Linked DNA regions of Macaca mulatta. The protein of the gene in region 1 interacts with the protein of each later gene in a pairwise test. Links are inferred from orthologs where the notes say so. Each region holds a gene or a part of one and is shown on either strand. Other genes may lie near its edges. The genes, in order: FATE1, SMIM14, SLC38A1, TMEM11, RPRM, SLC7A1 and KCNS2.

Evidence for each region.
Region 2: the proteins of FATE1 (region 1) and SMIM14 interact in binary tests that used the Homo sapiens proteins (3 or more experiments, as listed by UniProt). The two-hybrid records come from large-scale screens. The link is inferred for Macaca mulatta from reciprocal best matches to the Homo sapiens genes FATE1 and SMIM14.
Region 3: the proteins of FATE1 (region 1) and SLC38A1 interact in binary tests that used the Homo sapiens proteins (3 or more experiments, as listed by UniProt). The two-hybrid records come from large-scale screens. The link is inferred for Macaca mulatta from reciprocal best matches to the Homo sapiens genes FATE1 and SLC38A1.
Region 4: the proteins of FATE1 (region 1) and TMEM11 interact in binary tests that used the Homo sapiens proteins (3 or more experiments, as listed by UniProt). The two-hybrid records come from large-scale screens. The link is inferred for Macaca mulatta from reciprocal best matches to the Homo sapiens genes FATE1 and TMEM11.
Region 5: the proteins of FATE1 (region 1) and RPRM interact in binary tests that used the Homo sapiens proteins (3 or more experiments, as listed by UniProt). The two-hybrid records come from large-scale screens. The link is inferred for Macaca mulatta from reciprocal best matches to the Homo sapiens genes FATE1 and RPRM.
Region 6: the proteins of FATE1 (region 1) and SLC7A1 interact in binary tests that used the Homo sapiens proteins (3 or more experiments, as listed by UniProt). The two-hybrid records come from large-scale screens. The link is inferred for Macaca mulatta from reciprocal best matches to the Homo sapiens genes FATE1 and SLC7A1.
Region 7: the proteins of FATE1 (region 1) and KCNS2 interact in binary tests that used the Homo sapiens proteins (3 or more experiments, as listed by UniProt). The two-hybrid records come from large-scale screens. The link is inferred for Macaca mulatta from reciprocal best matches to the Homo sapiens genes FATE1 and KCNS2.

Annotation. Positions count from the first base shown.
Region 1 is NC_133426.1:157,958,366-157,960,669, forward strand, and holds the end of FATE1 (fetal and adult testis-expressed transcript protein), read left to right. Parts: intron 1-177; coding exon 178-284; intron 285-692; coding exon 693-771; intron 772-1,415; coding exon 1,416-1,547; 3' UTR 1,548-1,804; downstream 1,805-2,304. UniProt on the Homo sapiens protein: Involved in the regulation of endoplasmic reticulum (ER)-mitochondria coupling. Negatively regulates the ER-mitochondria distance and Ca(2+) transfer from ER to mitochondria possibly implicating it in the regulation of apoptosis.
Region 2 is NC_133410.1:38,769,434-38,772,933, forward strand, and holds part of SMIM14 (small integral membrane protein 14), read right to left. Parts: intron 1,775-3,500; coding exon 1,632-1,774; intron 1-1,631.
Region 3 is NC_133416.1:53,346,873-53,351,053, reverse strand, and holds the start of SLC38A1 (sodium-coupled neutral amino acid symporter 1), read left to right. Parts: upstream 1-1,381; 5' UTR 1,382-1,430; exon of another isoform or gene 1,431-1,435; intron 1,436-4,181. UniProt on the Homo sapiens protein: Symporter that cotransports short-chain neutral amino acids and sodium ions from the extraccellular to the intracellular side of the cell membrane. The transport is elctrogenic, pH dependent and driven by the Na(+) electrochemical gradient.
Region 4 is NC_133421.1:22,088,550-22,092,049, forward strand, and holds part of TMEM11 (transmembrane protein 11, mitochondrial), read right to left. Parts: intron 398-3,500; coding exon 1-397. UniProt on the Homo sapiens protein: Plays a role in mitochondrial morphogenesis.
Region 5 is NC_133417.1:58,348,100-58,351,742, forward strand, and holds RPRM (protein reprimo), read right to left. Parts: upstream 2,201-3,643; 5' UTR 1,958-2,200; coding exon 1,628-1,957; 3' UTR 501-1,627; downstream 1-500. UniProt on the Homo sapiens protein: May be involved in the regulation of p53-dependent G2 arrest of the cell cycle. Seems to induce cell cycle arrest by inhibiting CDK1 activity and nuclear translocation of the CDC2 cyclin B1 complex.
Region 6 is NC_133422.1:9,489,717-9,493,964, forward strand, and holds the start of SLC7A1 (high affinity cationic amino acid transporter 1), read right to left. Parts: upstream 2,801-4,248; 5' UTR 2,679-2,800; coding exon of another isoform or gene 2,052-2,678; exon of another isoform or gene 378-2,051; intron 1-377. Other genes in the region: uncharacterized protein LOC144336222, read left to right, coding at 2,052-2,678. UniProt on the Homo sapiens protein: High-affinity, low capacity permease involved in the transport of the cationic amino acids (arginine, lysine and ornithine) in non-hepatic tissues.
Region 7 is NC_133413.1:108,804,198-108,808,445, forward strand, and holds the start of KCNS2 (delayed-rectifier potassium channel regulatory subunit KCNS2), read left to right. Parts: upstream 1-1,448; 5' UTR 1,449-1,572; intron 1,573-2,184; 5' UTR 2,185-2,226; coding exon 2,227-3,660; 3' UTR 3,661-4,248. UniProt on the Homo sapiens protein: Potassium channel regulatory subunit that modulate the delayed rectifier voltage-gated potassium channel activity of KCNB1 and KCNB2 by altering their kinetics, expression levels, and shifting the half-inactivation potential to more polarized values.

The DNA.
Region 1 (2,304 bases):
CCAGCAGCCTGTGTGGAGTTCCCAAGCTTTCCTAGAGGCCTGAAGCTGCCAGCCCTTGATTCCAGAGACCAGGCACCATGTGACTCCCCATGGGGTGCACCATTGGTTCTGGGCAAACTGGGGAAGCCACTCACGTGGGGCTGGGCAGGCTACTTTACTGATCATTCCTTTCTTCAGGGGTCCCAGCTGCCAATGCCCAGAATGCTGAGAGAATCAGGCCATGGGGATGCCCATCTCCAGGAGTACCCTGGCAATTTCCAAGGCATGCGTTTCCATTATGATCGGTAAGAGCTGAGGGTCTGTGGGCCCTGGCTGCTCAGACAGGGCCCAGAGTGGGGCGGAGGGGCTGGTGAGCAGCTTGGCCAGGACGGAGTCATGAGGGCCTGGAATGCCTCCCTGTCAGAGACCATGAGCACCCTGGCTCCCTGCCCATTTGGGGCATCCCAGTGCTCTGTGGGCTAGCCGAGTTGGGCTGGGCCAGGCTGGGCCAGGCTGGCTCAGGCTAGCTCAGGCTGACTCCCAGTCCTCAAGGCCCTAGGCCCTCTTTACCATGGGAGAGGACTGGAGGCTCATAGTCACTGTCCAAGAAGTTCCTGACCTTACCTGCTTGACCTCATTGCCTTCTTGTGCTCACTGCCAGGTCCTGCCGGGGCCACCAGCAGCTTTGACCCTCTGTCTTTTTTCTCTCCCAGCAACCCAGGTACAGATGCAGTGGCACAGACTAGCCTGGAAGAGCTCAATGTACTGGAGATGGAAGTCATGAGAAGACAGGTGAGGAGGGACCCAATTGGTGGGTGCAAGCAGAATCACAATGCCTTGGAGTAGTCAGGGCTCAACATCTGGGGTCTTGTAGCCCCTTACAGTCATCTTTCCCTTTAGCGCTGGAGGTAGGGCAGATTCCCTTCCTTTTCCTCCTCATCCCCATGGCTCTGACCCAGGTAGATGTCCAATCTCAAACCTACTGCTGTCCCTGAGATGCTGGCAGGGAATAGGGGCCGATAAAAGGTAAAGGAAGAGGGAACATACAAGGATAAGTGTTCTATGTCCAGAGAGAGAGTGATACCCAACAGTCTGAGAGAGGGGTCGCCTTTGTTCAAATCAAACCCAGACCTTCTCAGGAGGAGACCCTTCCTCCCTTGGCCCCCCGGAGCAGCTGGAATGGGCTGGCCTCTTCCAGAGAATGGAAGTGAGCATCAAGGGAGAAGGCAGAAGTAGCGACTGCAGACGCAGCAGCCAAGTCTTTGGTCCAGCGGACCTGGCCCAGCCCCCTGCTTCTCACTAGGGGCACTCCCCGCTCCACCGCCAAAGGGCAATCAAGCCCCTTCTTGCTTTAACTTTATGCTTTTCCGATGGCTGAGCTGTGGGCTTCTGGAGAAGAGCCTGGCTCAGTAGTCCTCCCTTTGGCTCCTCTGCAGCTATATGCAGTCAACCGGCGTCTGCGCGCCCTGGAGGAGCAGGGCGCCACCTGGCGCCAGAGGGAGACCCTGATCATCGCCGTGCTGGTGTCAGCCAGCATAGCCAACCTGTGGCTGTGGATGAACCAGTGATCGCCCCCGCGCGGCCTCCGTATTGGAGCCCTCCCTGCTTCCCCTTCTTTCTTTCCTCTTTCCCTGGGCCGCCATTGCCCATCCCCCTTTTATCTCCCAGCAGCCCTCAGGCAGCGTCAGGGTCATTTTCAGCTCTGGTTAGGCCTCCTACCTGGGGAGGTCAGGTCACTGCATTGGGAGGTCCTGGCTGCTGCGAAGGTGGAGGAGGACTGCATGGGCTGAGATGCCATCCTTTGAAGGGTGAAGAGCATGGCGGCATCTGGACGCCACAGTAACACCTAGTGGCAACCTTGCCTTCCTGACCTCAGCGGCCCTTCTGTTCCATCCTCTGTGGGCAGGGGTGTGGCTTTGTTTTCCTCCCTCGTTTGCTTCCACCTCGTGCACAACGCTCTGCGCAAACATCATGCTCAATAAAAGTTCCGCCATAGCAGCAAAACTCTGTGGCTGAGGTTCCTGTGTCCAGCACTCATTTGGGGCAACAGTGGGGTTGGGGTGCACTGAGGAACAACAGCGCCTCTTCACAAAGACCTTGTGGCTGGGACTGAGCCTCTGCCATTGCCCCAGGTGCCCTGGTTTCCTCCTCCCTTTCACCTTCCCCGCCTCACTGTCCCCAGCCCCAGCTTTGCAAAGTTCTTCCTGTTGGGCTGATGCAAATGGGTGCTTGTGGGTGTGTGGTTCTGGGAGCATGTCTGGACTGTGTTGCAGGGATGCAATCAGAGGAAATCTCCTGAAAGGGACCAGAAACATTCTCATTTGC
Region 2 (3,500 bases), on another chromosome or scaffold:
GCTGGAGTGCAATGGCGCGATCTTGGCTCACTGCAACCTCCACCTCCTGGGTTCAAGCAACTGTCTTGCCTTAGCCTCCCAAGTAGCTGGGATTACAGGCGCCCACCACCATGCCCAGCTAATTTTCGTATTTTTAGTAGAAACAAGGTTTCACCATGTTGGCCAGGATAGTCTCGAACTCCTAAACTCAGGTGATCTGCCCATCTCGGCCTCCCAAAGTGCTGGGCTTACAGGCGTGAGCCACCGTGCCCAGCCTCATGGAAATATTTTTAAAGAGATAATATTCAAATTCAATGTTAAAAAAAACACACACATAAATACTGGTTCTGAAAAGGATTAAAAGGAATCCTTTAACAGAGGTTCTTTTTTTTTTTTTGAGACACAATCTCACTCTGTAGCCCAAGCTGGAGTGTGGTGGTGTGATCTTGGCTCACTGCAACCTCTGCCTCCTGAGCTCAAACGATTCTCAAGCCTCAGCTTCCTGAGTAGCTGGGACTATAGGCGCACACCACCATGTCCGGCTAATTTTTTGTATTTTAGTAGAGACGGGGTTTCACCATGTTGCCCAGGGTACCATGTCCGGTTAATTTTTTGTATTTTAGTAGAGACGGGGTTTTACCATGTTGCCCAGGGTGGTCTTGAACACCTGAGATCAGGCGATCTGCCCGCCTTGGCCTCCCAAAGTGCTGGGATTGCAGGTGTGAGCCACTGCGCCTGGCCAACAGAGTTTCTATTAAAGATAGTACTGAAAACTCCCTGTTGGGTCACTTTATCACAGTTTTAATTTAGAAGGTTCTAAAAATGGTTGTAATCATGACTATCAAGATTTATCAACATGAATGATTCTGACCTCTCCTTTTGCCAGCTCAGTTGATTTGTTGTGGTACAGAAATGGAAAATGGGTTTGAGAGAAATAGGATGGGAAAATGAGGAAAATAAAATCAGACAGGCTCAGTGTCTCTACTGAATAGCTAGGACAGAAGGGGGTCAAACATTTGAGCTGAAGCTACTAAGAGTTTAGAGGCTAGAAGCATGAGAGGCAAGGGATCAACTGTGAGGTGGACAGAACTGAGTAGTGGAGGATTGAGATTTAAGCAATATTGCTGTGGATTATGAAATGGATTATTTCATAATGCTTCTCATGCGAGTAAAGATTGGAATTCAAGCCTGGGCAACCTGGCAAAACCCCATCTCTACAAAAAAAAATACAAAAAACTAGCCAAGTGTGCTAGTGCATGCCTGTGGTCCCAGCTACTCAGAAGGGTGAGGTGGGAGGATCACCTGAGCCTGGGAGGTAGAGGCTACAGTGAGCTAAGATCGCACCAATGCACTCCAGCCTGGGCAGCTGAGCAAGACCCTGTCTGAACAACAACAACAAAAAAATTGGAATTCATTTTCAAATTAATTTTCGGCTTCTGGTCTGTGCTTCTTTCTGCATTTAACTCCACAAAGATTAAGCCATCAATTAAATCTTGGAATTGCAAGATTTAATAGAACTACATAGGTAGAATACTCTATGAGTTAAATGTAATTTAACTAATATAGGTATTTTAGTCAAAACCAAGTCCTTCCCTGCCCCAGGTCACATACATTCCCTTACCCAAAAAGCATTTAAAATGTGCAATACTTACATTATGAGGACTGGTTGGCTTTCCAGGTAGGTTGGATCCTCTTAGATTCGGAGGTCTCAGTAAGAACAAGATCAATGCAATAACCATCCAGGCCACTAAGATCATAGTAACACTGATGCCATTATCACCAGAGGGTCCTGGTACTAAAGACAAACAAAAAATGTAGCATGCTCACAACATTGTTAAAAGTAAAAATAAATTCTAATGTTTAAATGTCAGTTTCAAATATTGTGTTAATATAAAAATTGTATTGATAAATTAAAGAAGTACATATTATACCTTCAATTTCCCTTTCCTCCAGTGAGAACATCTAAAAAGTAAATGATGTTAAATAGTCATAAACCAAAACCTAGTAAGTTTTTGTTGTTTTCATTTTTTGAGATGGGGTCTTGCTCTATCAAACAGGCTGGAGTGCGGTGGCTCAATCGTAGCCCACTACAGCCTTAAACTTCTATGCTCATGGGATCCTCTCACCTCAGCCTCCTGAGTAGCTGGGACTACAGGTGTGTGCCACCATGCCCCATGCCCCAAATTTTTAATTTTTGTTTTTAGGAGAAACACTGTGTTGCCTGGGCTGGTTTCTAACAATTGTTTGTTTTTTTTTTTTAGATGGAGTCTCACTCTGTTGCCAAGGCCAGAGTACAGTGGGATGATCTTGGCTCACTGCAACCTCCACCTCCCAGGATCAAGCAATTCTGCCTCAGTCTCCTGAGTAGCTGGGATTACAGGCATGTGCCACCACGCCCAGCTAATTTTTGTATTTCTAGTAGAGACAGGGGTTCACCATGTTGGCCAGGCTGGTCTTGAACTCCTGACCTTAGGTGATCCACCCGCCTTGGCCTCCCAAAGTGCTCGGATTACAGGTGTGAGCCACTGTGTCCAGCCCCACACCCCTAATTTTTTTTTTTTTTAATTTTTAGTAGTGATGACGTCTCACTATGTTGCTTGGACTAGTCTCTAATAAATTTTTTAATAGTACACTAATTCTTAATATTTTGGGGTAACAGAATCATTTGAGAATTTGATAAAAATTAAGAACTCTATTTTAAGAATTCATGGGGTCCTTCAACAGAGGCCTTGCAAGGCAAGCTGGCCATGCCATGTTTGTAGATTAGTGAGGCTAGGGGCCCTAACTTCCCTAAGATCTACTTTTCTAGCTACCTCTGCCCTGTGTCTGGCACCTACATCCTTCATGATTGTTCTTTTTGATCCATTCTGGATTAAAAATAAATATGAAAAGCACTCATGTATACCAAATTCCACAATTTTGCATATAATTGTGGAAGGTTTAAGGACCCACAAAGCCACGAATCCATAGATTTGCTGAGATCTATGAATCTGAGTTAAGACCACAGAAAAAACACTCTCCTTTGGGGGGAAATCTGCATCTTAATTACAGAGGCATCATGAAAAAGAAAGGGAACATCCGGGCTGCATAATATATACATTAAAAGATCCCTTTAATTACAGTCTCAACCAAAGAGATGACTTTGGCCTTCTTTTTCACACAAAGAAGTTGAATTCAGGTCTAGATATTTTAAAATTTAATCAGTTTTTATCTTCTATCAATTTTTTGTCTTCTATTTATCATGAGGAAAAAGCTAGACAGGGATGTATGTAAGTATACAGGTATCAGTTTTTCCTGGCTCCTTGACATAGCCATGTCTTATTTAATTTGAAATAACAAGTGCCTAGCACAGTGCCTGATATGAGGTTAACAAATTTCTAATAAATGAAACATAGATTTTTTATTGAAGTATATTAGAGAACTCAATTTTCAGAAATACAAATGGCCGGATGCGGTGACTCACGCCTATTATCCCAGCATTTTGGGAAGCCAAGATGGGCATATTGCCTGAGCTCAGGAAT
Region 3 (4,181 bases), on another chromosome or scaffold:
CCCAGTTGCCCCTGTTCCCCTCCATCGCGCTCCCTTGTCCCCAGGACTTGGAGCGCCCCAGCTCAGTTAACCTGGACGCACCAGGTCCTTCGGTCGGAACCACATGGGGTCTCCAGGCCCTCTAAGAGCTGGCCCCCGCCTCTTGCGCCTAGGCCGGTGCTTTCTCGGCGCTCAGCAGATCCTTCTGGTTGCCTCACACCCAGTCCCCAAAGCAGAGCTCCACAGGGCAGATCTCAGGAAGGGCTTGCCAGGTCTGCGGATGCTGGATCCGGAAGAAGGGAGGTGCCTCCCGCTTCAGGATAGGGACAAAGGGTTTCTAAAGGTGCCCGAGCTCCCCGCTCCCCCTGTCGCTTCGTTCCCCTTCCCGCCAACCCGGGCCATCTGCGGGCTGTACCCAGGGCCAACCCTCCGCTCCAACGCTGCTCGTAGTCCCAGGCGCTCCCCGCTGCTCTCCGGGCTGGGCTCGGACCGGCCACTCCCGCGGCCATCCTCATGCTGCGCCCTTCCCACAATGCAACTCCCTCGCTCCTTCGGCCCCGGCGGGGCTCTGGCGTACCCAAAATGCAGGCCCCAGCGAAACGCACAGCCCTCCTGTCCTCCTCCGGTGCCCCTTTAGCCACTCCACCCCCATCTCTAAGGGCTCTCATTCTCCAGCTGCCGCCGCAGCTGGGTTCCGAACACGCCGCCGGGCCCCGGGAGGGAGAGGGGCAGGTGCCAGGGCGGTGCGCAGCCTCCGCTCCCGGTGCCACCTTCAGTGCGGCGGGCACACGCGCGCCCCGCAACCCCTCCCTCACCCTTTCCCCGTTGCTCAATCTCCGCCAGCCGCGGTCGCTGCATCGTCAGAGAGCTGCAAGAGGGAGGCAGCAAGGCGCGGCCGCTAGCAGTGACACCATGTGACCGGCACGGCTCAGTGACACGCAGCTTTGGTTAAAGAGCGGGCGCACAGGAGGGGAGGAGACGGCGCGCGGGACAGGGAGGAATGTCCTGTCCCCCTTAAACCATCACAAGCCATGGTTGCGGAAGGGCCACGCGCCTCCCAGTAGGAGAATGACTCCGATTCGTGACCCTCAGCGCGGGTGCATGTGGATGTAAGTGCGAGGCCGGCGAGCAGAGTGTGAGTGGGGGTTGGTGGTGAGGGGAGATTCTGATGCAATCGGCCCGGAAAGGAGGAGGAGAGACAGGCGAGCGCGGACTGGGGCAGCCACGCCACTCCGCCTGAAGGTCGCCAGGAGCCTCCGCCCTTCACCTTCCTCGGAAATCCGCCAGGCCACGCCAAGCTCCCTGCCCAGCCCTGACTGACGGGAGCCACCTTTTCCCGGCCTCCGCAGCCAGACCTTGACACAAAGGACATCAAACTGCCGAGGGTAAAAACCCCGGAAGGGCGGACACATCCACGTCGCCTTTCGCCACCTTTCCCTTTATCTGCGGAGGTAAGGTGATTATCCGTTCCCTGGGAGGGCTGGGCAAGCGGCGAGGGGATGTTTAGATGTGGGAGGAGGCGGTAACGTAGAAATCATCTCTGCTGGCGTGAAAGCAGAGAGAGCTAGGCTGTGCCGGATGCTTTCGGATGTTGCTTTTAGGAGAGGAAAAGTCCAGGTCTCCTGTGCTTCCCGAACGCATGCGGCAGAGCGAGGAAGCGCCAGGGCCCCCGAGTTCACCTTTGCGTGGGCTGTGGCTTACTTTTTGGTTTGTTTTCCTGTGGCTTTGGTGTGTTTTCCTGTGGCTGTGGCGGAGTGTGGTACCAGATCTGGTTCCATTTTTACGAGGGCCGGGAACCACGCAGGTCTGGAGGGAGAGCGCATCTGACCCGAGGGCGCGACCCTGTTATAGGAGTGTTTGAATCCCCGACCTTTGGGGAAAATTTCCTGTGTCCCCAAGGCCCAGGGGAGATCGTGTGATGTCCTGGGGTGCTGCGTGTGGCCGGCTGGGTAGCCGCGGCGGACCACCAGTAAACCCGGGCACGTTTGCCGTCCTTCCTGGTGCTCTGCCCCTCTGTAACGCGGGGAAGTAGGAGGGCGCGAGGAGAAATTACTAAAGGATGTTTGCAAGTGACTCACTGTCCTTTCCTGCCCTGAAGAGGTTTTTCTAAAATGCAGAGGGTGGCGGGGGACAGGGATAGTGTTTTTTCGAGAGTCGGGATGTGCTGGAGCCAGCGAACAAAAGGCCACCTCTTGCGCGGTCTTGGGCGCTGACTGCTCTCGCTTCCAGTCCTACCTCCTTCCCAACCCCCGACAGCAAGCTCGCGTCCCTAAACATCGCCACAGAGGCCTTTAAATGCGTGGATCGGTGCCGGGAGGAGAGCGCACCTTCGTCCTTGTGCGAGCCCTTTGCCCCCTAAATTACCCACCTCCCGGAGCATGGGGCTCCTCAGTACCGTTGGGATCCGGTAGGTTACCCGGCTGCCTGGGCGCCGATTCCCTGCCAAATCGCCCGCCCGAGGTTTTTGCTGAACTGTAGTCAGTGAAGGCACAAGTGCATATGGCAGCAAAAGGAATTTCGCGGTAACCGCGTCACGCCGCTCCCAGTGCCTTTCACAGGCTGCCTTGGACTGGGGAAGGTGGTGCTACAATTCAGAGTCCTTTGTCTTGCTCTGCGGCGCGGACCCGAGGCTTATACAAACCCTCGTTCTCTGTTAGAAACTAACTGCCGCCAGGATTCGTTTACTTTCTCAGACGAATCCACGGTGATATATGTAGTAACAGTGAAAAAAGACGCCTCTGCTAGAAAACGGTATTCATTTGCGTTTGGAAGGGGTTTTGACCTCTCTGCAGTGGGTTTTTACATTTTTAAATACAAGGGGGAGGAGGAAAATACATTTATGGTTTGCAGAATGCAGGGCCCAGCGAGAGTGTAATTTGTCACCTTGATAAAAGAAACTGTGCAGCAACTCGTGCTTTTTCTGACGTCAGAAGGACAACGGAAATAAAACCTGAGCTCGGTGCATGGCTGGCCTCGTTGTCAGATACCTCATGCTAGTTTGGTCCTCCCGAAATCTTGCAAAACAGCCAATTCCGGGGTACTGACCTGGTGTGGACCCCCTGGATTTTGGTTCGACCCCAGCCTCAAAATGGCTTTTCTCTTGAGAGTCACTCGAGTTCTCAGTATGTTGCCGCAAGCAATTGGAAACTGGCCTAGTTTGGTTTGAGGTCTTAATCTTGAGATTTATTCGCTTTTTAAAAAAACGTGGCCAATAAACATTTTCTACAGAGGGTTTACTGTGCGACTGGTAGCAACTAACAAGATTTGTTTCACCTTCTATGAAGCTTCCGTTCTCAGGGGGAAACAGACTATATAAATGTAGGCATATACATTTCGGGTATTCTTAGTGCAATGAAGAAGTAAAACAGGATCATGTGATGGGGGAGGATGCTTGAAATAGAGTGACTCACCGGGAGGGCCAGTGTGAGGGTATAACATTTGTCCTCAGACCCGAATGATGAAAAGGGACCAGCTATTTCTATAATTGAGGGAAGAAGGCCAGCAGAAGGAACAGGAAGAAGGAACAGCAAGTACTTACTGCACTCTTCTTTGACTGTAATATAATTGAACAGAGAGATGAATAGATTTTAAAGGTGTTTTGGATCTTTAAACCTATATGTATGTTGTTTATGTATTTTTTTTTATGATGCTCCATGAATTAAGGCCGTTTAATGAAAGGAGCACCATGTTTAGGAGTCCTGACATCGGACGGTTGCTACTCTTTTCCTTACTCTGGGTGATGCTTGTGGACAAAAACCGATTTTACTCATTGTTCCTCTAATGTCCAGCACATAGTACCTGCTTAATAAATACTTGTTGGATTGAGACCTTGGTCAAGCCATCTTGTTCATCTCTTTGTGATGTTATTGACCATCCCTTCCTTTCTATATCTCATCTGTTCCCCTTCTCCTCAGTTTGAAAATTACAGTCTTTCTCTTCTCTGCTTCTCCTTCTCTTACTGCCCTCCCCACTTTGAGCAGTGACCAGGCCCTTGAAAATACCCCTCACACTTGTCCTCTTGTCTCCATTTCCACTGCCCAAGTTCAGGTCCCTGTCACCTGACCTAGACTTGGAGACATATGAAACAGATATAGAGGTGCCTTCAACAATCTCGGGGAAGTGGGAGTGGGCGGTGGAGAAAAATGCAAGCACAACACATGGTTAAGAGTGAAACAGCCAGTTACTGAGGTGCAACAGCTTTC
Region 4 (3,500 bases), on another chromosome or scaffold:
GGAGGTGAGTGTGTGCAGAGGCAGGCGCGACAGTTTATAGGCGTCGTACTCCACTTGGTACTTGCAGCAAGGGTCAAACTGCCAGGAGATCCCATAGAGGGTGCAGCAGGCCAGGCTCAGCACACCAGCGGGCAGGGAGATGTAGTGGGAATAATCTAAGGGCAGCGCCAACGGGGTGAAGAGGCAGGCGGTGCCCGCCAGCACGGCCGTCTTGTGCAGGCAGTTGCCCACGGTGATCCAGCGGGCCGTCTCGTCGCCGATGCGCGTGGGCTCAATCACAATGTACTTGTACTGGGCTTCCAGGGCCTGCTCCAGCTCGTACTCAAACTGGTCTTGGGCATTCTCCCCATTGTAGATCTCGTGCACAATGTAGCAGTCTGTGGCCGACAAGCTCACCCTTTTGACGGAGGGGGCGGGAGAGGGAGAGAGAGAGAGAGGATGATTAGGCTGAGCAGCACTTAACTGTGTTTCGATGCTGGGGGAGGTCTGAGCCTGCACTGCGGAGAGCACATCTCCCTGAGGTCCTTATCTCCTTCAGATCCCAACACAAGACAATCAGTAAAAAGTACTTTTCCTGAAATAGTGAAATAAGCCTGGGCGCAGTGGCTCACACCTGTAATCCTAGCACTTTGGGAGGCCGGGGTGGGTGAATCATGAGGTCAGGAGTTCAAGACCAGCCTGGCCAATATGGTGAAACCCTATGTCTACTAAAGATACAAAAAATTAGCCAGGTGTGGTGGCGCATGCCTATAATCCCCGTTATCTACTCGGGAGGCTGAGGCAGGAGAATCATTTGAACCTGGGAGGCAGAGGTTGCAGTGAGCCGAGATCGTGCCATTGCACTGCAGCCTGGGTGACAGGACGAGACTCTGTCTCAAAAAAAAAAAAAAAATTTAGATATAAAAAGGCAGGAAAAGGAGTACCTCGATGTTTAAAAGAACAAACGCAGGCCTGGTGGTTAGCCTAAGGCTGTGGACCAACTGATCTGAGTCAGCAAAGGAGCCTAAAGGGGAAAGAAGGATTCGCACAGTCACATGGGCGCACACGGCAGCACGAGGCCAACAGCCTGAGAGCCGCTCTTAATCAGGGCAACTGCAGGAGGATTCTCACTGCAAACCACAGGCCTCAGGACAGATCATGCTAAGCCCTTACCCTCCACACGGTTCCTAAGTAGTCATCCTGGGCCCACAGAACAGAGGCACAATGGAAGAGCTCTGCCTTGGGCAAAATCCAAACTCCTTTGGCTCTCCTGGGAGGCCGGGCTGCACGAGCCCTGGGTGCCCTTCCCGGATGGCAGCAGCCTCCTGCTCCTCCCCACCGCGGAGGGGAGAACAGGAGACCCAGGACACTAGCCCACTGCATAGGAAAAGCGACCCTTTCCCTGACTTAGGAAAAGACGACACTTCAAGGACAGTAGCGGCCCCCAAACGTAGCGGGCAGGAGGGTCAACTGAGGGGCTTCAAAACATCCAGCCAGCAATGCCACCGATTCCGGCCCTGCAGGCCCAGGCCCCTGCCCCACCGGCAAATGCCACTCATTTGCATCAGAAACACATCCACAGAGAACACACAAGGGGCTTTCCCCCTGGGACTGGGGTGCATGCCATGACCCCAAGCAGCAGCAGATCCACCACATGGAAGGCGCAGCTCTGCAGCAAGGCCAGACAGCAGCCCGGTGGCAGCCCCAGCAGTGACCGTGGGCCAAGCTGCATTTTAGGCATTCTGGCTTTTCTTGGTTTCAGGCCTTGCAGTCCAAATTTCCCACCCAAAGCAGAATCTTCTTCACCTGTGGCGGGCAGGCCTGAATACAGGGCTACCCACGCCTTGTCATTTTTCCTTGGCTGGTTTCAGCTGAGACAGATCTTTTTTTTTTTTTTTGAGACGGAGTCTCGCTCTGTCGCCCAGGCTGGAGTGTGGTGGCCGGATCTCGGCTCACTGCAAGCTCCGCCTCCCGGGTTCACGCCATTCTCCTGCCTCAGCCTCCTGGGTAGCTGGGACTACAGGCACCTGCCACCTCGCCCGGCTAGTTTTTTTGTATTTTTTTAGTAGAGATGGGGTTTCACCGTGTTAGCCAGGATGGGCTCGATCTCCTGACCTCGTGATCCGCCCGCCTCGGCCTCCCAAAGTGCTGGGATTACAGGCTTGAGCCACCGCGCCCGGCCAGCTGAGACAGATCTTTCTGCATCTCCGCAACGCCACTCTGCATCCTGCTTTTCCATTATCTGCTCATCCGCGAGAAGTCTTGATCTGAGCCCTGACAGGGACACTGCTAGACACAGCTCTTGAGGCTGGATCAAGTTTTCCAACTCATGGCTCCTCCGGCTGGGCAGAGCCATGCTCCTCAGTGCAAAGCTGCCCCTTCCCTCAGCACACCCCGGTCCCCAGGACGGTCAAACTCATCTGACTAAAGGACACGAGGCTCTAGGGACCTGCTGGTCACTGCTCCCCTGCCGGAGTCCATGCCCCTCCCACTGGGAGGCTCTGGCACAGTGTACTAGGCCACACAAGGGTCAGTGTGGCCCATCTACCTGAGGCTCTGACAGGAACTAGCTTCCTTTAGGGGCCAACGAGAAGCACAGCCCTCAGTGTGCACAGACGCGAAGGTCCCGTCCGCCCGGCCTGTCCTGGCACGCACACCTGGCTGCGCACCTGTGCAGAGGAAAGTCATGGGGAGCTGAGCCACCTGGCCATCGGCCACAACATGGGAGCGACGAGTGAAGACTCATAACAAGCCACCCTCAGCCCAGCATGAAGGTAACTCCCTCCAGGCTCCTTCAAAGATGGGAGCAGTTCCAAGTGAAGGATGGTGGAAATCCGACTGTCAGGGTAAACTTCAAGGAAAAAGAACAGGCAATCACGGTCCTCCCTACAACTGAGACTCCTCCCAGCTCAAAGCTTTCAGCAAACAAAGAAGCAAACCTAACAGGCTGGGTTTCATGCTGGCTGGATGAACAACTGGTGAACGATCTTATGTGGCCACATTCAAGATGAAAGTCATTAGTAATGGGCTGACTGTGCCCCCAAACATGGGGGCCCTACCCCCTGGGTGGGAACCACTTTCATAAAAGGCACTGGCTTGGACCTGGGCAAAGGGAACTCTTTATCCTGCAAAAGTCACTGTAACGAAGCTGGGCTAAGGCAAAGCCTCCTAATTCAATCATAGGCCCTCATTAAACTGCATGCACTGGGGAGAAATCAGTTCGCTGCGGGTGGGACAAGAGCCTCCTAAACTTGGGTTGCTGCCAAGCCGCCTGTGACTGTGTGCCAGTGTCGTGGCTGCCTTGCCAGGGGTGAACTGATGAGCTGTTACTGTAAGACTGCACGAGCAGCTTCTGTGGGGAAAGGAGGGGTTGCCTTCTAAAGCCCTCGGTGGAGTTTTTCCATGTGGTCTGAGAGGAGAGGTGAGGGAGAGGCCAGCTGTTACTCCCAGGCAGGATTCAACAGCTTTTATTTTTGAGACAGGTTCCTGCGCTGTCACCCAGGTAGGAGTGCAGTGGTGTG
Region 5 (3,643 bases), on another chromosome or scaffold:
TGGGGTTGTAATACTCATCTCCCACATTCAGGACCTCGGCTAACTCCTCTCAACCCTTTGCCTGGTCTGGGGCAGTCTAAATTACAAAGAACAGGCTGAACCTTTATTTTAACCTGGTCTTTTTTTTGCCAGAAAAAGTAATATAGCAACGACAGTAATGCATCTCATGTTTTAGTAACAATGGTTTACCCCAGGGAGCATTAACGTCACTGTGTACCTTAGCAGCTACTTTTCCTTGCATTTTATAATTCCCCTTCCCCATGCCCCGGCCCCGCCCGTGGGCAGCATCCCAAAGCCGCCTCGCTGACGTTGGTTAGGGTAGAGACGCTCTCCGTAAAGGCTGTCCAAGCCTTCTCTTCCTTTCATTAGCGGTGTAATCCTGTGTTCCCGCCGGAGCCTGGCACGGAAGTGTAATCTTCCCGCGGGGGCCCTCCTGTAGTCTCGCCTATCTGAGAGCTGAGACTAAATGAAATATAAAATATTCACGATAAGAGGAAACAAAGGATGCTACCTCCAGGACGGCTACTGTGCCTGAGGCTGGGCTCTGTCTCAGTCATCCCAGGGCCTCTCCGTCTGGCCCCACCCTCGCCCCTCCATGGGATCCACAAGTTGAATCGCAGCTCTCTAGGGTGAATTTCCCTGGCCGGGAGCCAGACTCTGCACCGCCGCCCCGTTCCCCCCCTGCTGGGGAGCGCAGAATGACCACCAGGAGGCCAGGAACAAAACGCTTAAATGTTGCATTTATTAAGGAAATGTTAAATAAGAAAAAAAAAAAACAAAAAGTCAAAACGGTGTCACGGATGTCAAGAGCACTTTTGTGGCGTAAACCGTGCAGTCACGAGCTACGAGTTCTATTCTGGGTCTTTGTATCAGGGCCAGCAGGAACGCTAGACACCTCCCAAAAGACCCAGTGGGAAATGCACTAAAAGAAACAACTCACCCCCCTCAAAGTCGCAGGCTCCCCTCCCCCCACCCCTTCTCCCACAACGACAAAACTTTAACCCCTCAGGCAGGCAAACAGGCCACTGGGGCAGAAAAAGACTTATCAAATATTTGTATTCAAGCAAACAAACACAAAACCTCTTAAAACAGCACGTTACAATCAAAGGTATTTATCGCCTCTCCCCTCCAGGGCTGGTGGGGAGCAGGAGAAGAGTGGGAGCACACCCGGACACGGATTTGTGAGACCCCATGATGTCTGCTGCGTGGCTTTTAACAGGTCATTTTTCCGGTCACAAGGCGATCAGTGCCGCTGGGTCTCTCCCCTGCCCTCCCTCTCCACTTGCCCCCAGAGCTTGGCCCACCTGCGGGTGGAGAAGGGCCTGCGCCCCGTCGTTCTCCCCGCATTCCAAGTAAGTAGCAGCTTCCAAAGTTCTGCGCCCTAATCGCCTTCTTCTTGCCACTTTCTGCTGAGTCCAGAAGTCCGGGCGCTCTCCTCCGACTGCCAGGCATGAGGACTTTCAGAGGGCGAGGGAGAAACCGGTCGCTTCTTTCCGAAAGGCCGAAGTCGAGAGAAATAATTGACTCCGACAGGTTTGCTTCGCCCAGTCTCTGACAGTGAGGGGCACAGCCGGGCTGGCAAAGTGGGCAGGCGTGGGAGCGGTTGCCGCGGGGGCGGAGGGGCGGGTCAGTAGGGCCCCACGACCACTGCCTCCACCTCCTTAGACGGTCTCCGGTCCTTCACGAGGAAGTTGATCATGCCCTCGGACTTGATCAGCAGATTGCAGCCGAGGAAGAAGATGCCGAAGACCACGGTGAGTGAGAGCACGCACATAACGGCGATCTGCACCACGCGCATTATGTACAGGCTGCGCTCGTCCGGGCCTCCCTCCGCGAAGCCGTCGTCGGTCACCACGGACGCCTGGGTGCAGCAGCGCACGGCTCGCTCCAGCGCCTCGCTGCTGTTAGCCAGGAACAGGCCCGCCACGTCGGTCTGGTTGCCCAGGGCCGGATTCATCGCAGGAGCGGGCGGGCGCCGCGAGCGGCGCGGGTCCGAGGGGTGGGAAGGCGGCGGCGCTGGAGGAACAGGTGCCGAGCTGAGCGCTCACTCGCAGACTAGCGCTTGCAAGGGCTCCTAGCTCTGCTTTCGAAAGTCCCTGGGCCGTGGGAGTTTCCCAGGAGCCTCTCCGACGCGCGCAGCAGCTAGGCTCTTCTAAAGCCGTCCGCTCCAGCCCGGGCGGTGCTCGTTCCCGGCGCTCGCTCGACTGGGGGCTGTTGGAACTTGGCGGGGCTGGACCAGCCCGGCCGTGGGAGGTGCGGGCAGCGGCGGCTGCAGCGGCGGGGCGGCTGCACTGAGTAAACAGCGGCCCCTTCCGGCCGCACCGCCGCGCTGCGCGCTACTCTTGGGCGGTGGAGGAAGCAAAGGGGCGAACCTGGTCTTGCTTTTTATTGCTTTCTTCTTTTGCAAACTCCGAAGGCCAGGCAGAGGTCATCGTACTCTTCTAGCTTGATGGATGATTAAAAGAGTTTGGCGGGGGAGGGTGCGGTCAGCTGAAAGTTTCAGAGGAACTGGGACACACGAGCTCTGCGTGTCCTCTGCCGGCTGTCCCCCTGACCTCTGGGCTGATGGAAAGTGGCGATGAATCCCAGGTGCCAGATGGTGCCAGCTGAGGCCACCCGCCCACCGCCTGTGCTTGACTCCGTCTCGCCTGCGTTGGATTTCTGGTGGAGTGGAGGTGATCTGAGAATGTTTCTTACAAAGTAATGAATTTGGAAAGACAGAAAGGCATGGAAGAAGGAAGGAAGGAAGGAAAGAAAGAAAAAAGGAAGGCAGGGAGAAAAAAGAGCTCTACACTCAACTTCCTTTACAAAAGCGATTGGGAGACAGAGCAAGGCAGATTTTATCATGAGGTGTGAGGCCAAGGAAAGGGGGTTAGAGGAAGGAGGAGTTCTTCTGTGGCCCTTGGGTGGAGGTGGTTGCCGGGAGCAGGGGTCACCTCTCTGGTAAAGGAAGTGAACACAGTGACCACTTGCTTGTAATTTTAATTGCAGATGAATTTTTGGATGTGCTTCCAGCATTTTGTCCATTGGCAGTAAATCAGTTGTTTAAAGGAATTGCTCATCAACATCCATCACCTAAAACGCTGGCCAAATGCTGGGAGCCCTCCCCATTTTCCATAAGCTGATGCATTTCACCCTTAGTCATTTAAACTAAACACAGATGTTTGTATGGGCCTGATTGACGCTTCAGCCATTGTGATTTTGCTGTAGGTTCCAACGAAATTTTATAAACCTATAGATTAAGTTTCTTAACTCTGAAAGAATACTGCATGATCCCGCGCCCCCTTTTCTATTTTCTTTTCCCTCCCTCCTTTTCCCCATTACTCCCTGCCTTCCTCCCTCTTTCTTTCAGCTGTAACAGCTGGAAACCAGTAACTTGAGCTTTCAACAGAATACATTTATTTTCTATTAAATGTTCTCACCACAAAGAACTGATAAAAATTTGAGATAATGGGTACGCTAATTACTCTGATTTGATCATTCCACAATATATATGTGTATCAAAATATCACTTTATACCTCATAAATATGTACAATTGTTTGTCAATTAAAAATAAAATAAAACTGAAAAGCAGCTGTCTTGCCATTTTCAACTCTAAATTTCATTCTGTTTGCTTGGTAAATCCTCTTATTTCTGTTTCTT
Region 6 (4,248 bases), on another chromosome or scaffold:
CTTTGAACCCCATGTTTAGAGGGTCCCCATTCCACAGGACAAGCCCACCGCCAGGTGGCCCACTAGAAGGCGGCAGAGGAGCAAAGGGAGGCCATGGGCAGCAAGGAGCCAGAGGTTGAAGAGACCCCCCAGATTTGGCGAGAGGAGCCAGTGAGGCTAGGTGAAGGGGAAGGACGCCAGCACCCTGGACGGCTGGCTGCAACACACAGGCAGGCACCTGAAAGGGGCTCCAAGAAGATACGTCTTCTAGCCCTGACCCTGGGGATGAGAGTTCTAAAAAGGGCAGTTGTGACTTTCAGAAAGTCCCTCTTCCATCCAACAGGTTCTTTGCTCAGCCTTCCCATCTCATTAATACAGCAACTCTGATGTGCTTGGAGTCATATTTGACCTTTCTCACCCTCCATGAATCCACTGGCCAATCTTATTGGATCTGCTTTAAAATCTGTCCAGGTCTGCAGGGCCCAACTATATAGAAAAACACCACAACCCATCGGAACGTCTTGCTTGGAGTGAGGACCAAGAAGCAGGTGGAGTGACAGGCATCTCTGAAGATGCCTCTGGAAGAGATAACTCCGAGACCCAAGTATCTCCAAGGTTTAGAGGGAAAAAAATATTTTTCTCCATAACAAGGATGCACTTATTCACATTTCAAATTTGTCCCTCGGAATAACAGCAATCTCTCCAAATACATGGTTGATAATGAGAAAGGATTAATTTAATTGGACATAATTCTGAGCCCTCCAACATAATTACCTATTTGTATGGACTTTGGTTAAAATAAACTACAGACCGGCATAATCAATCAACATGTATTTAATTCCATCAAAGAATGAGTTCTTCTACCAAATAGAAAATTGAAACTCCCTGAAGTCAACAACCTTGTCTTTCAAGCCTTTTTTTTTTTTTTTCACCTAAAGCAAGTAATCATATGCACAGAAGCATGTGGCTCTAGGATCCAGACCCAGACAAGGGAGTACATTTCTGATCCACTTATTAAGCCGTATCCTCTTTACTCAAAACTCCTTTGACATCCTTTGAATTTTACCTTTATAATAATTAAACGTGATCGTAATATGCTAAACCTATTTTTAAAACTATTTTAACCTATTGTTGACTTTTCCCCTAAGTTTCTATCCTGTTCGTGTGACTTAAATAAGACCTTTTGTTTTAATAACAGGAAGGTGTGTTCATATGAAAATCACGATAATTTCCACTGACACCAACTAAAAATACCAGAGGAATAAATGTTTCATGGTTACCTATTATCTGAACCAAACATAAAGGGCAAGAAATATTAAGAAAAATCCCAAATAAATTATAATTCGAATTAAATACAATTAGGGCATTCAGCCAGAGGCCGACATACACAATTCTACTAGTCGAATGGAAAATAAAAGGCACATTTTTTAGGGAGATACACCTGGGATTGAAATCCCAACCATCTGGTAACTATGTCTGGACTAAAACCCAACACATGAGGGCATGGCGGTGATGACGTGAGTATTGGGAAATGCAGGTTATTTATTTTTCCTGAAGGCACATGTCTGACTATCCCAGTCACACAAGTCAAACACAACTGCTATCTGGGTCCCCCATCCCCTCGAAAGGGTCAGGAGCTGAACCAACAGGCCGTTGTAGTACTACCGCGCAGCTGCCGCTCTGAATACACGTAGGTTTTAGAATGACTGTGACCTGCCCATGCCCGGGAAGTTTTCTACTACGCAGAAGGGAATACCCTGAGAATACGGTGTCTTCCCAAAGGCGGAAGAACTTCCTCTCACTCCAAACCATGTGGAGGGCCTGAGGAACCCGGTCTTTTCAGGCCACACTGGGTCACAAAGAAGCCCACCTAGGGGAGACTTCATCGAAGCAATATTGGGGACCCAGACGAGAGGTGCAGGCGGCGCGTCCCGGGTTCTAGGAACAAGCGGAGGGCTAGGTGCTCTAGGTCAGGGCGACCACCAGGCGGGGATGGCGACAGAGTCCCCGGGCGGGCCACCTGCCGCAGGACCACCCTCGGGGCGGCCGGGCAGGGTCCCCACCCAAGGCTGATGACACATCCCCGGACCTCGTGGCGGGGCGGGGTGCTCTGCACCGCGCCATGTAAGGGAAGGTCTCCTCGCTGCCAGCGGGCTCCGGATGCTTCCCGGGCTGGCCAGTGCACCCGCCGCCCACCTACCCACCCCGACCACCCGGTGCGTAGCGGCGCGCGGGTCCCCGGACAGGCGCGCGGGGCGGGCATCGCCAGGTCGCCCACGCTTACTCACTCGGTGTTGCATCATACACCACGCCGCGGCTTCAAGGAGCCAAAATGGACTCCGTGGAGGCGACAGCCGCATGGGCACCAGCCCCGCGTGCCCACTCCAGGGCCCGCCCGGTCCAGGTCCTGGCCCTTCCCGGAGGATGGCAGCGCTCCCGGCGCGGGGACCCTCGCCACTCCCGCGCCGCCCTCCCGTGGCCCCACGCAGAGCCAGGGCCGCCTTCGTGATAACCCGGGCCCAAGGAGCTGCCCCCTGCATTGGCGGGGGCCGGGCACTCACCGAGCCGGCGGCGGCGGGGCTCCGGCAGGACAGTGGACGGACAGTCGGACACGCTCAAGGACCAACGGACGCTCGGCCGGGGAGACTGGGCGGGGCGGAGGCGCGGCGCGCGGGGAGAGGAGTGGAGGCTGCGGTTAGCGGGAGCCGGTGGCCGCGTGCGCGCCTGCCAGGCGGTTGACCCGGGGCTCACACCTGCCCGCGCTGACTGAATGGGCGCGGAGGACTGGCGGAATCCGGCGCCAGGTTTCATCAGCCGCGCGCCCGGCCCCCGCCCCTCGCGCCCAGCTCCCCGCGCCCGCCTACGGACCAGGCAGCCCCGGCCCGCTCGGCCGCGTCACCGCCGGGCACCAATGGGAGCGCGGCGCGGTGGCGGCTGCCAGCCCAGAGGCGGCGGCCGAGTACCGACGCGCCCTTGGTGGGCGGGGCAGCTGAGTCTTCGCGCGCCCGGCGCCTCAACCTGCGGTTCCCGCGGCGGGCGGGCGGGAGGGCGGGCGGGCGGGAGGGCGGGCGGGGTGCACCTCCGCTCGCCTTCTCAGTAGCTCGGCAGGCGTGTGGCCGCTTCTCCGCCAATCTCAGCCCGCCGCGCCACAGCATCCTATGGTCCCCTGCAGATCCCACAGCGCCCGGCCAGAACTAGTGCCGCAGGTCCGGCTGTGCCAACCCCGTCCCGGCGGGCCCCAGGGAGCTCACACGGAGCTCGAGACCAGTTTTCCTTCTGGTATAAGATTTGGTATGCACGTAAAGGGTTTAAATTGTCTTTTCTTTTTAGAGACAGAGTGTTGCCCTGTTGCCCAGGCTGGAGCGCAGTTCACCTTAACCTCGAAATCCTGGTCAAGTGATCCTCCCGCCTGGGCCTCCCAAAGCGCCCTAGGATTACAGGCCTGAAACACTGCACCGGCCTAAAAATTACTATAAATCTTCATATCTTTGTTATTGGATTATTTTATTGCTATTCCCTTGCCCTTGCTAATACTTTATCCTTGCCAGTTGTCAGAAGAGCCCCAAAGCTTGAATCTACCAGTGCCCCCTTGGCGGTGGCAAATGCACAAACAGCTAAGTCAGAACGGCTCACTTTTGCAGTTACCTCCCAGGAAGTGGCAGAAACTTCAGTCCTGAATCACACCGTGCTCACCTCTTAAGCTCCTTCCTTGTCTCCTTTGGTACCAAAAACCAAGCAAGAATCATAATCTTTAAAGATTCAGTGATCTACGACTTGGGATAGGTAAGCAGGGCATAAATTAATACTGCCATCCTTCTTCTTGTAGGAAAACAAAAACAGTGGACGGTGTCCGTGGCCTTTGAATCCTTTCTACAGGTGCTTCTCAAATGTCAGCTGCTGAACTATTCCCTTGGAATTAGACTAGCAATTTATAAAGTACATAATTGCATGGTGCTAGCTTCAGAAAAAGTGTTTTGTTGTTGTTGCTGTCGTCATTTGTTTGTTTTTTAGAGACAGGGGTCTCACTCTGTCACCCAGGCCGGAATGCAGTGGTACAATCATAGCTCACTGTAACTTCAAATTCCCAGGCTCAGGTGATCCTCCTGCCTCAGCCTCCCAAGTAGATAGAACTACAGGCTTGTGTCATCACGCCTAGTTAATATTTTTTTTATATATAGACAAGGGTTTTTGATATGTTGCATAGGCTGGCCTCAAATACCAGCTGTCTTGCGATCATTTTGCCTCAACCTCCACTAGCATCTAGGACTA
Region 7 (4,248 bases), on another chromosome or scaffold:
GGGACGGCATTGCCAGAATTGCCTAAAGAAAGAATGTGCTTCCCACTGTGGCTGTGGTGTTTGCACCATGAGTCCAGAGCCACCTTGCAAGGGCATTCCCAGGACTTCTGACGGAGACATGTAGACGCTAGCTCCCTGCTAAGCTCGCACACCCACGGTGCCCCAGTTTTGCAAGTGGACACCACAGAGAAAGACCAAAGGGAGGGGGCTGCCCAGGGACTGGGTCCATTTCTCAGCTCAGCCCAGTAGGCAGGGCCTTAAGGACAATCCTAGGAGACCAAGAGCTCAGATCTGGGCCACAAGTCTTCTTGGGAATGGGGACGCAGATCCTGAGCACATCTACCAGTCCCCACTCCAGCTCGAACCCCCCAGTCCCCACTGTTGGCACGCACATCGGTCTCAACGTATTCCACACACATAAGTCCGTCACAGTCCCAAGAATACTACACTGTACACAGCACACTGTACACACAACACACGGTTCCCCATGCCACACACCGCGCTGACACACGTCCCAGGGCTCCCCTGTGCCGACGCATCTTCCCATCCGACAGAGGACCCATTTTAATGAATGCGGTACACACAGTGAAAAGTCCTGCTGTCCTCAGCCTATACACACACACAGCGCCCTGCAGTCCCGCACAGCCCGCATACCACACCGGCCTGGACACAAACGGTGCCCACACAGAGCTCCCGACCAGAACTCAGCGACTCCTGCCCCCGCTGTGCGGCCTGCGCTACCGTCCCCCGCGTACTAAGCCGAGCTCCACCTCAGACTTCCCGGCCCCCTGTTTTCTCCTCCAGCTCCTTTTCCCCAACAACCCCACCCCCGGTCTTCGGGAAACTTTTCTTCAGGTCCCTAAAAGGGGAAACCTGGAGTTCCTCCGGTCCCGCCCTGTCCCCGGACACGCGCAAGCCGCCCTTTATTTCCCAGCCCGGCTCCCGCCAGACCCAGCGGGTAAAGGTCACCGTGGGCAGCCCCCTGCCTGCGCCCTGGGGGTGGTGATAATAACAGCTGTCACCGGGGGATGGGCGGGGGGGAGGGAGGGGTGTCGGCCCCGCGCCGAGCCGGGGGCGCAAGGTGGTCGCGGTGACGCGCCGGGGAAGCGCAGAGAAGCAGCGGCGGCGGCGGCTGCGCCTTCCGAGCCCGGGGCGGCGGCCGAGGCGCGCGGAGCTGTCCGTTCAGCACCACCGCGCCGCGCCCAACGCAGGGCCCGCGCCCGGTCACACCCGCTCTGCTCCCGCCCGGGTTCACGGGGCGCCTGCGGCGCGGGCTCCTGCTTCTTTCGGCGGGTGACGGGCGCGCGGATCCGGAGAAGGGGCTCCGCGAGCGGCGGGACCACGCAGCCACCTGTGAGCCTTCCGCAGCTGCGGGCGGCGGCGGCTTGCCCGGCCCGAGACGGGAGGAGAAGCTCGGCGGCCCCCGCCCGCCGGCCCGCCGGGCGCACACTCGGGCGCACACACTCGCATCCGCGCACGCACCGCCAGCAGGCAGCGGCCACCGCCGCGATGCTCGCCCGCGGGTCGGGGAAGTTTCCCGCCGGCCTCGGCCGCGGGCGCCCGTGCTCCCAGGTAAGCGCTTCCAGAACGCGCAGGGCGAGCCCGGGCAGCCCCGCCGGGTGAGGCGCAGCGCACGCGGCCCTGGGGCATAGCGCCAGGCGGGTGGTGAGACCTGGGCCGGGGACGCGGGGGCTGCAGGCTTGGGAGCTGGACCCAGGGGAGGCCGGGCCGCCCCGCTCTTTCCCCGGCCCGGGTTTCCAGACTCCAGCGCATCCGCCCCAACCTCCCAAAGCTACGCGCCCCCCATGTCGGCCCCGCTCTGCCCGTGCGTATTTCAGCTCTGGTCCCTCCTGTCTGCGGCGAGCGGGCGGGGGCGTCTCCCGGGCCTGCCCATGGACAAGGTCAGCACGCAGCCCCCTGGGCGCTCAGAGCCGCGGGGACGCGACGCTGCACGCGCAAAGCGCCAACCGAGACCCCCGGGGTGGAGCCGTGCTAATAGAAACATACCTACCCCCAGCCTTTCCTGGGAGGGGGCCAGACCCCTCAAACTCTTGCCCCAGCCCAGTGCCCTTCAGCACCCAAGACCCACCTAGGAGGCTTGGGCCCGCCAGAAATGGGTAGGGAGAGGGGGCGATGGGCCGGGGCGCACGGCCCTCTTGCCGATGCTGTTCCCTCCGCTTCCAGGTGTAGCGCCCCCGCGCGGCGCGGGCGGCCGGTGCCTCCAGCATGACCGGCCAGAGCCTGTGGGACGTGTCGGAGGCCAACGTCGAGGACGGGGAGATCCGCATCAACGTGGGCGGCTTCAAGAGGAGGCTGCGCTCGCACACGCTGCTGCGCTTTCCCGAGACGCGCCTGGGCCGCCTGCTGCTCTGCCACTCGCGCGAGGCCATTCTGGAGCTCTGTGATGACTACGACGACGTCCAGCGGGAGTTCTACTTTGACCGCAACCCTGAGCTCTTCCCCTACGTGCTGCATTTCTATCACACCGGCAAGCTTCACGTCATGGCTGAGCTGTGCGTATTCTCCTTCAGCCAGGAGATCGAGTACTGGGGCATCAACGAGTTCTTCATTGACTCCTGCTGCAGCTACAGCTACCATGGTCGCAAAGTGGAGCCCGAGCAGGAGAAGTGGGACGAGCAGAGTGACCAGGAGAGCACCACGTCTTCCTTCGATGAGATCCTTGCCTTCTACAACGACGCCTCCAAGTTCGATGGGCAGCCCCTTGGCAACTTCCGCAGGCAGCTGTGGCTGGCCCTGGACAACCCTGGCTACTCAGTGCTGAGCAGGGTCTTCAGCATCCTGTCCATTCTGGTGGTGATGGGGTCCATCATCACCATGTGCCTCAATAGCCTGCCTGACTTCCAAATCCCTGATAGCCAGGGCAACCCTGGCGAGGACCCTAGGTTCGAAATCGTGGAGCACTTTGGCATCGCCTGGTTCACATTTGAGCTGGTGGCCAGGTTTGCTGTGGCCCCTGACTTCCTCAAGTTCTTCAAGAATGCCCTAAACCTTATTGACCTCATGTCCATCGTCCCCTTTTACATAACTCTAGTGGTGAACCTGGTGGTGGAGAGCACACCTACCTTAGCCAACTTGGGCAGGGTGGCCCAGGTCCTGAGGCTGATGCGGATCTTCCGCATCTTAAAGCTGGCCAGGCACTCCACGGGCCTCCGCTCCCTGGGGGCCACTTTGAAATACAGCTACAAAGAAGTAGGGCTGCTCTTGCTCTACCTCTCCGTCGGAATTTCCATCTTCTCCGTGGTGGCCTACACCATTGAAAAGGAGGAGAACGAGGGCCTGGCCACCATCCCCGCCTGCTGGTGGTGGGCTACTGTCAGTATGACCACAGTAGGGTACGGGGATGTGGTCCCAGGGACCACGGCAGGGAAGCTGACTGCCTCTGCCTGCATCTTGGCAGGCATCCTCGTGGTGGTCCTGCCCATCACCTTGATCTTCAATAAGTTCTCCCACTTTTACCGGCGCCAAAAGCAACTTGAGAGTGCCATGCGCAGCTGTGACTTTGGAGATGGAATGAAGGAGGTCCCTTCAGTCAATTTAAGGGACTATTATGCCCATAAAGTTAAATCCCTCATGGCAAGCCTGACGAACATGAGCAGGAGCTCACCAAGTGAACTCAGTTTAAATGATTCACTACATTAGCTGGGAGGACTTGTCACCCTCCACCCCACATTGCTGAGCTGCCTCTTGTGCCTCTGGCACAGCCAGGCACCTTATGGTTATGGTGTAAGGAGTATGCCCAGCCCCTGAGGGGAGAGATGCATGGGATATGCACCCAGGTTTCTTTTGCAGTATTTAGAATCGTTTTTAGAGGGTGGTGTGTCTGACACCATGCCTTTGCACCTTTCCATGAAATGACACTCACTGGTCTTTGCATCGTGGGCATAAAATGTTCACCTTTTTGCCAGATGAGTACACCCAGAATGCTAATTTTTCTGTTCATCGTGTACGCTATTCTAGTGCTTGTGGCCCAGTACTGTCTATGAGTTGTTGTGCTCCTGTTTCTGAGGTTGTCGTGTGAGTTCTGTACAAAAAGCCCCCACAAGTCTGTCCACTGGAAATGCATCTATGAGGTCAGCAAGGATATCATGAGATTTTTGCTCACAGTCATGTGAAAACAAAATCTCAGCTCTTTATTCATTACTTTCATTTAGTTTTAATACCAAAACAAAGAGAATGCAAAGTTAAGCACACTTGACCAATGCAAGTCTTAAGTTGTTTTTATAAATG